2 linked regions of the Mus musculus genome follow. Each later gene encodes a partner of the first gene's protein in a complex. Links are inferred from orthologs where the notes say so. Each region holds a gene or a part of one and is shown on either strand. Other genes may lie near its edges.

Region 1 (3,818 bases):
ACCCCCCACTCCCAAAAAAATCCACTTAAATTTCTTGTGATTCTTTCAGGAGAAAAAAGACAACACTAATTGGCAGGGTAGCTTTTGGCTCTACTTGAGGCATTTCAGCCTTGGGATTTTCCCCGCAGTCACTGTGTGCCGAGATAAGGCTAAATACTCCATCAATAGAGAGCATGGCTGTTGGGCGTGAAAGCTCTGAGTTTGAGCCAGATGGCCCAGGTATCGTGGCTTATGCCTGTAGTAGGTAGTAGAAACAAAAGGACCAAGAATTCAAGGGGAGAGCCTTAAGGATGGCTTAGAGGTTATTCTTTCAAAGAACCTGGGTTGGATTCTCAGCACCTATGTGGCATCTGACAACTTTCTGTTAAGTTTAGGTCCAGGGGAGTCCAGTATCCTCTCTGGCCTCATGGGCAAGAAGGCACACACATGGTATACAGACATACAAGTAGGCAAAATACCCATATGCATTCAGGGTTACTGTTGAATACCTAGTATATTGAAAGCCTTCCTAAGTGATTTTATCCCACCTACAGCAGGCACACATGTATCTGAGGATGTGGCTGTTGAATTAGTTGGACTGTACCTCATTTCACAGTGTTTATGGAAGCATCTCATTGTATTCTGTGTCTATCTTAAAGTTTCCTTTGTGTAATTTCAGGTATAATTTAGGTGACTATAGTGGAGAGATCATGTCTGAGGTCATGGCACAGAGACAGCCAGTGAAGCCTACTTATGCCATCCCCATCATCCCGATTACTAACAGCAGCCAGTTCAAACACCAGGATGCCACGGACTCGAAGGAGTTCAAAGTTAACAAGGTGATTAGAGCTCTGTAACAGTAGCATCCAGTAAACAGTGAAAAGAATAAATTGCACTGCAAGGTGTTCTGGAGTTAAGGGGGTTGGGGAGCTTTTCATGACAATTTAATTTCTACTTCTCTTGCTTCCTTACAAGGGAAGGCTTTGTTCTGTGTCTGATAAAAAGAGGGATTTGCTGAAAGGGGATAGGAAATGTTGGTGTGATGAATGGCGTGATTAGAGGCCTGGAAAGAATATGAAGCCCTCCCACCCGATGTAACATTCCGGGACACATCTATGTGTGAGTGACAGGCAGGTCTTGTTAACAGCTGGTGACATGGGCAGAAGTATAAATACTTTGACAAGTTGATACATCATAATTTGTGAAGAATAAAATTGGTGAGGGAGAATAAGAGAGGGCAGGCAGTATGCCCTTTTGATAAATGTGCCTCAGGAGAGAAGTGTTTGATGACCTAACATTTAACTCGGACTTACCATTCCATTTCAATTGAGGAAATCTGCTGATCATTTTGTTATCTAACCTGTTCTGTTTATTTTGTTTCTGTGATTTTTTTTTTTAATTTGGTGTATAATGTACCATATCATTTGGAATGATGGTTTCTGCAGCCTAGACTTTTTTCCTGTCAGAGCACTGACAGAGACTATTTCAGATACGTTGATTTTGAGGTATTGGGATGTTGGACAGATGAATGGAAGTAATCTCTTTGATAATCACAAATGGTGGCTGTTAATCACAGCAGAGGCCACGCCTGGCAGATCTCTGAGTTTGAGACACAGCCTGGTCTACATAGTGAGTTTCTTCAGCCAGGCAAGGCTACTTAGTGAAACGCCTCCACCCCACTACCCCTGTCAAAAACAAGTTAAAGATCACTCTCCAAAATATTTCTTTGCTCATAATTTCTAGTCCTACATATGTATAATTTTTCCTTGTTTTTATATTGAAGTCTTTGTCTACCTGTCTGAAATGTATGACTTTATATATCACTTAGTCTTACTTTGATTTTCATATTTCAGAACTTAACTCCAATTCTAATTATACAACATTGTATTCATCTGTGTGTTCTAGAAACATGAGCCATGCACTTGGATCTAGTTTACCTTAAATCCTTCTAAATTAAGACAGAATCATTAATGGAATAGTCCTGTTATTTTGAACATTTTCTTATTTAAATTTTCATTCAAATTTTTGTGTTGTCTGGCTGGAGAGATAGGTGAACAGTTAGCAACACATATTGTTCTTGCAGAGAACAATGTTCTTGCTGGGTTGAGTTGCCAGCACCTACGTCAGATGGCATACAACTGCCTACAAGTCTAGTTCCAGGGGATCTGATATTCTCTGCCTTTTGAAGGCACCTGTGCATACACATAAGTCTTGTAAGCAAATGTTTGTTTTGAACAGAGCAAATGTAGATTATTAGGGGAAACTGAGACTGAACCTCTGAGGGTAGGAGGGGCTACCAGGAGGAACACTCAAGCCTGTTTTAATAGTTTAAGCACTTGGCTCCCCAAGTAATAATTAACTCAAGTTGTTACAGAAGTTGCAGTTGTGGAATGTGCTACTGGGTGACTGTCTCATTCATGCCTATGTTGCAGCAAGATAAGGCTGATCTTATCCGGCCGAAGCGCAAATATGAAAAGAAGCCCAAAGTCTTACCCCCATCTGCTGCCGCCCCTCAGCAGCAGAGTCCTGCTGCACTGCCAGGCTTCAGTGCTAAAGACTTAAACCAGTACGACTTCCCCAGCTCAGATGAAGAGCCTCTGTCACAGGTAAACAGAAGACCAGCTATCTGCACACGGAAGAGGAACGTAGGAACTGCATTTTGACCTCTCGTTGCTTTATTTCAAGGTTTTGTCTGGCTCTTCGGAAGCTGAGGAAGAGAATGACCCTGATGGCCCTTTTGCTTTCCGTAGGAAAGCAGGCTGTCAGTACTATGCTGTAAGTGTCAGACTTTCTCTGTAAACAACAAACAGCAGACAGACTGACAAGATACAATAATTTGGATTTTTTTTTTTAGCCTCATTTAGACCAAACTGGCAACTGGCCCTGGACTAGCCCTAAAGATGGAGGCCTGGGGGATGTGCGATATAGATATTGCTTAACTACTCTCACCGTACCCCAGAGGTGTCTTGGATTTGCACGAAGACGGGTCGGACGTGGTGGAAGGTAACACGCTTCTGCTTTCCTCACACCAGCATGCCTTAGACATTGGAGTCAGAGTTTACACTGAGGTCCTCCTTGTGAACAGACTCTAGAAGCTCCAGTTTGCTGTGCTTAGCAGAGCTGTTTACACGTCTCCCACTGCATTACCAACGTCTTCACCCACTTTGTAGTTCTCACGTGACCCATGTGGGTTCTTAACTCCCCAAGCTTCTTAGCACCTGAGTTATCCCAGGGTAGACTCCCAAGAAAGGACAAGTGTAACTTGTATTTACACACTCAGGATTGGTTCAGGAAACTACAACCAAAGTCGCTGAGTTCTGGGGCAAACCTTATATTAACTACTGCAGTGACCACTTAGCTTTGCTGCTCATGGCCTCAGTGTGTCAGAATGTGGTTCTGGGTCTCTGAAATAGAATACTTCATGCATGGAGAGGAGGAGAGAAGGAACTGCAAAGCACAGAAAAAGAACTTTATCCAGCATTGAGATTTGAGGCTAAAAGAACCAAAGCCAACAAGATGACTCAGTGGGAAGGAGCATTTGCCACCAAGGTGACAGCCTGAGTTCTGTCCCCAGGACTCACGTGGTGGAAGGAGAGAATCAACTCTTGGGAATTGTCCTCTGGCTGCTGCATGCATGTGTGCTGTGCTATGTGCCCTATGCCGTGCACGCACAGTGTGAAAGAGTCAAATGCTGCCGTGGTGAACTTGGCAACTTTTAACTATTCAGTGTACTGGTGTTCAGCTTTAGGGGAAAGCGTTCGGAACAGAAAGGAAGAAACTTTGATGTAATCTCTGGTGTCTGCTCCTTGTACAGGGTCGTGCTGGACAGAGCGCATTCA
Region 2 (4,270 bases), on another chromosome or scaffold:
GCAGAGTCAAATGCTAATATTCTCTAGCAAAACTCGATTTTAACTCCAGCAGTGAAATTTCTCTATATTTATAACCCTGGAAAAGTGAATTCAGAGTTAAAAACCCCAACACAGATGAAATTAGGCACTGTAAACAAACGTGGCTGCTTTTGAACAAAGAGCACAAACAGATAAATAGTTTTAGTACAAAATTTAAATTAAACAGGTGTAGACTAAATATATTTAACATTCAAGTAATAAGAAAATGGCTTTAAAAGAAGACAAAAGAGAATACAAGTATGTCATTGTAAATAAAATTGTAACATAAAAATATTGAGTAGTGAATAAAATGTGTCATACTGATTTATTTTCTTTTGTATGAGAAAGGGTCTTCCATAATCTGGGTTGGCTTCTAATTGCCTATGTTGCCAAAGCTCACACTCCTAATCCTCCTGTCTCAATTCTCCCACTTAGGGGATTACAGGTGTGTGGTGTTATAATCCACCAGATAGTCTAAGAAGGGATCATTTTCCCCAAAACACAGAAGCATTTAGTGTACGAATTTTTATGAAAGGCATTTTTAAGATAGAAACGGGGCGGTGATACACTTGTTATACCACCAGTGAACATTTGCTAGGGTTATTAAAAAAGCCTGCCCAGAACTATAAACATTAACCCAGCTACTTACCCAACATAAATTTAAATCATTGTTAGTATATGCCAGCAATGCATTAAATCACTATAATTTATGGTTGGTTGTTATTTATTCATCTATTTATTTACTTTATTGCGGATGCATTTGAACAGTTGTTTTACAATGAACACAAGATACACCGCAAAACATAACTGGCTACTGAATACTATTTTGGGTGTCTTTTAATTTGGGAAATGCACATTCGCTCCAGTCTCACTATAAATTATCTTAACGTTGCAGGGACACCAATCACTTGTCCCATTTATTTATCAGGAGTGAATAATGAAGATAAATTCCAGCAGCGAGTTCTGTTCTAAACAACCTGAATTTTCCGAACTTAGCCGATTATTCTAGCGTTTGGAATCTTTGCTATTTGCCTAGCACAGCCAGAAATCCATGACTCACAAACGGCGGGCTTAGAATCACCGCCCAGAACAGGTGAAAAGTTGTTCCTAGTTGTGTCAGGCAGGCGCATACAACTCCCGTCATCCCCCATGTAAGAAATCAACAAATAAACAGAGGCACCGCATTTCGGATTCTGGCGTGCCCGTTTCGCGCAGGCGTGTGGTTTCTGTAGTTGCCACTCCAAGAGACACCCTCACTAATGGCCACGCTCGGGGAAAAAGAAGACTACATTTCCCAGAATACCGCGGAGATCCGCACCGGCCGGTTGACGTCATCGCTGCAGACAGCCAATAGCAACGGCGGGCGGCAGTGAGGCAAGCGCCGTCAGGCGCCAAAGTGGAGCCTTTTTTTTTTTCCTTTGCTTTTTTTTTTTTTTTTTTCCTTTGCCGGAGTCGAGCGGGTGCTGCTAGCGGAGGCGCCATATTGGAAGGGACAAAACTCCGGCGACAGCGAGTGACACAAATAAACCCCTGGACCCGTTCGTCCCCGCAACAGTCAGGGCCGCGATGTTGTACCTAGAGGACTATTTGGAAAGTGAGTGCGCGGCGCCGGCGACGCGGCGGGCGGGATCGGCGGCGGGCGGGAGCGCGAGTGGCCGGGCGGGCGGGATGGCGGGAGGGAGGGGGAGCGGGGGATGTTTCTTTCTCACGGTAACTGGCAGCCTCGTTGTGAGCCGCCCCCCCTCCCGTACGCACGCACGCACGCACGCACACACGCGTGACGCCAGCGCGTCCCTTCGCCGTTGGCCCCGCCCTCTGACGGACTGTGCCTTTGACAGTGATTGAGCAGCTTCCGATGGACCTACGGGACCGCTTCACGGAGATGCGCGAGATGGATCTGCAGGTGCAGAGTAAGTGGCGCGTCTCCACGGCCCCGCGCAGCCCCGGCCTCCCTCGGGCATCGCCTGGCGGGTCCTCCGCGCTACTTTTTTCAGGCTGTGACAAGGAGGCGGCGGGCACACCGTACCGTTAACACGCGGGGCACAGCAAACACAGTTGTTTGTGTACTGCATGGAGATGACGACACTGCACCGCAGTGGAAACTCGCGTGATTTTCAGAAGGTTTGCACCCGAGCCTGGATGTGGAAACTTGGAGTTCTGCATTCAGACTTAAAAGTTCATTACATTCCGAATTTCTCCAGAGCAAAGACATAGAAGGGCAGGCTAGGGACCCTAGTGAACTCGGAAGGCCGAACTTTGACAAGTTGCATATTAATGGAAGACACTTAGAGCTGTGAACAGCGTGGACACTTTCTCAGCCAGAAATGAGTGAGAGAGATCAGATTTTAAGGAAATCACCCGCTTGCTCTTTAGAAAACTGTAGACGTTTGATAGGCTTCCCTACTGGTTTCTTGTTTTGTAAACACAACCACGTCATTCAGGCTGGTCTCACACTCAATATGTATAATAATCCTAGGCTTGCTCTAATCTCCTCATCTTCCTGCTTCTGTCTGCCTAGTGCTTGGCTTTTCAGGCATTGCTAGCATTGATTTTTTTTTCTGTCAGTGCTTGGCAGCTTTATATGTGACTTATTTCCAAAATGAACCTTGTTCTTTTGAAAAAGCCAGACTGGAAGAGGCTCAAAGGTAACTTGAGTTTGCTAAGGGCTTGTTCTCTTCATTCATGAGCCTCTGCCGCCCCTGCCCCTCATTTCTGTACCTTTTGTCCCTGACTGTACTTTTCTCATCTCAGTCTCTGGGTCATCTCTTGGGGTGCATTGCCCAATAGCCTCTCATAAATCTGTGACTGGAATAGGTGTGCTTTTTCTCTTTGACTTTAAGGTAGTTGCAGTAGTAAACACCTGCCGAAGCACATTCCAGAGGGATTGAGTAGAGTTTGGTGGCAGACAGATTTGGGTTCACTCTTGGACAGGACGACTAGGACAACTCCAGCCTTGCTGCCTGGGGGGCTTGTTTGCTTTTTTTTTTTTTTTTTAAAAACTGACAGTCTTCTGAGGATTTAAACTAATACAGATAATTAGGATGTATAATGCCCATTACAAATAGGTTTAGAATAAAGGATAATTTAAAACATTGTCAATCATTCAATTTTTTTAAAATTCTGGGATAGTTTGGATTTAATCTATTCATATGACAGTGCTTTCAAGTTTACTTACTTTGTAATCCTGGAGTTTTCGGAAACAAAGTGAGTAGGCATTAAAAGTATCAGCATGTCTAAGGTCAGCAAGTAGCTGAAAGTAAATTGTGTTTTAAAAATGAAGATTAACTAGAGCATCTCAGCATCTTTTGTAAAAAGCCATCCTGCTCTGAAGTTGCTTAAATGATAAATATAGTGGGCAATTTTTTCTCCATTTCCATCACAACAAAACCCCTTTTATTTATTTTTTTAGCAGCCATCCACTGAGGTCATTATTTTTGACCTGGGCTTTGGCGAAGCCTTACATAGAGTAAATAGCATGTGTGTTGAGTGAATAAATGGTGAGCAACGGTCACATATATTATCCCTTCCTGTGAGAGGACGTGATGAGGTGCTTGGTGCTATGGAGCAAGTGTTGACTCTGTCATCACTATTTTTATTAAAAGAAGTATGAGACCGTCCCAGGAGTACTGTTAGTAAGCAGCTCTGATTGCCGTAACCAGCTGACTTAATGCCATTAACTTTGATTTCAGTGCGGGTTGTGGCGTAGATCCTTGTCTGTACAATTCACTCTACCTTGATTACTGGAAAATGTTTTGAAATAGCAAAGTCAGTACAGAATATTTCAGCTTTTTAAAAACTAATGTAATGAAGGCACCACTGCTTATAGTACAAAATGTGTATAAGCTAAAACAGAGTTGTCAGATGTCTTTTTTTTTTCCTCAAATCAAAGCAGTTTGGTCGGCTAAGTATGAAATGTTTTATTGTGTCAGATGCAATGGATCAACTAGAACAAAGAGTCAGTGAGTTCTTTATGAATGCAAAGAAGAATAAACCCGAGTGGCGAGAAGAACAGATGGCATCCATCAAAAAAGTAAGTGTGATGCCTTGGATAATTGGCAGTCACATTGGGACCCTCTAGGAGAGATAGTAACATTACGTAGATACCTGGATATGGAGTGAGGGCACTTATGAGGGACTTGGGGGCACTTGGTATATTCTAGACCAGCAGTTCAACTCAAGGGGCAGATGACCTTTTCACAGGGTCACCAAAAGCCATCGGAAAACACATTACGATTCAGAAATAATCTCATGG

What was found.
Region 2: Epc1 (region 1) and Ing3 share a complex: the UniProt entries of both Homo sapiens proteins name them as parts of the nuA4 histone acetyltransferase complex. The link is inferred for Mus musculus from reciprocal best matches to the Homo sapiens genes EPC1 and ING3.

Annotation. Positions count from the first base shown.
Region 1 is NC_000084.6:6,449,233-6,453,050, reverse strand, and holds part of Epc1 (enhancer of polycomb homolog 1), read left to right. Parts: intron 1-658; coding exon 659-818; intron 819-2,411; coding exon 2,412-2,585; intron 2,586-2,664; coding exon 2,665-2,754; intron 2,755-2,833; coding exon 2,834-2,982; intron 2,983-3,793; coding exon 3,794-3,818. UniProt on the Homo sapiens protein: Component of the NuA4 histone acetyltransferase (HAT) complex, a multiprotein complex involved in transcriptional activation of select genes principally by acetylation of nucleosomal histones H4 and H2A.
Region 2 is NC_000072.6:21,948,182-21,952,451, forward strand, and holds the start of Ing3 (inhibitor of growth protein 3), read left to right. Parts: upstream 1-1,433; 5' UTR 1,434-1,584; coding exon 1,585-1,612; intron 1,613-1,856; coding exon 1,857-1,928; exon of another isoform or gene 1,929-2,139; intron 2,140-3,947; coding exon 3,948-4,048; intron 4,049-4,270. UniProt on the Homo sapiens protein: Component of the NuA4 histone acetyltransferase (HAT) complex which is involved in transcriptional activation of select genes principally by acetylation of nucleosomal histones H4 and H2A.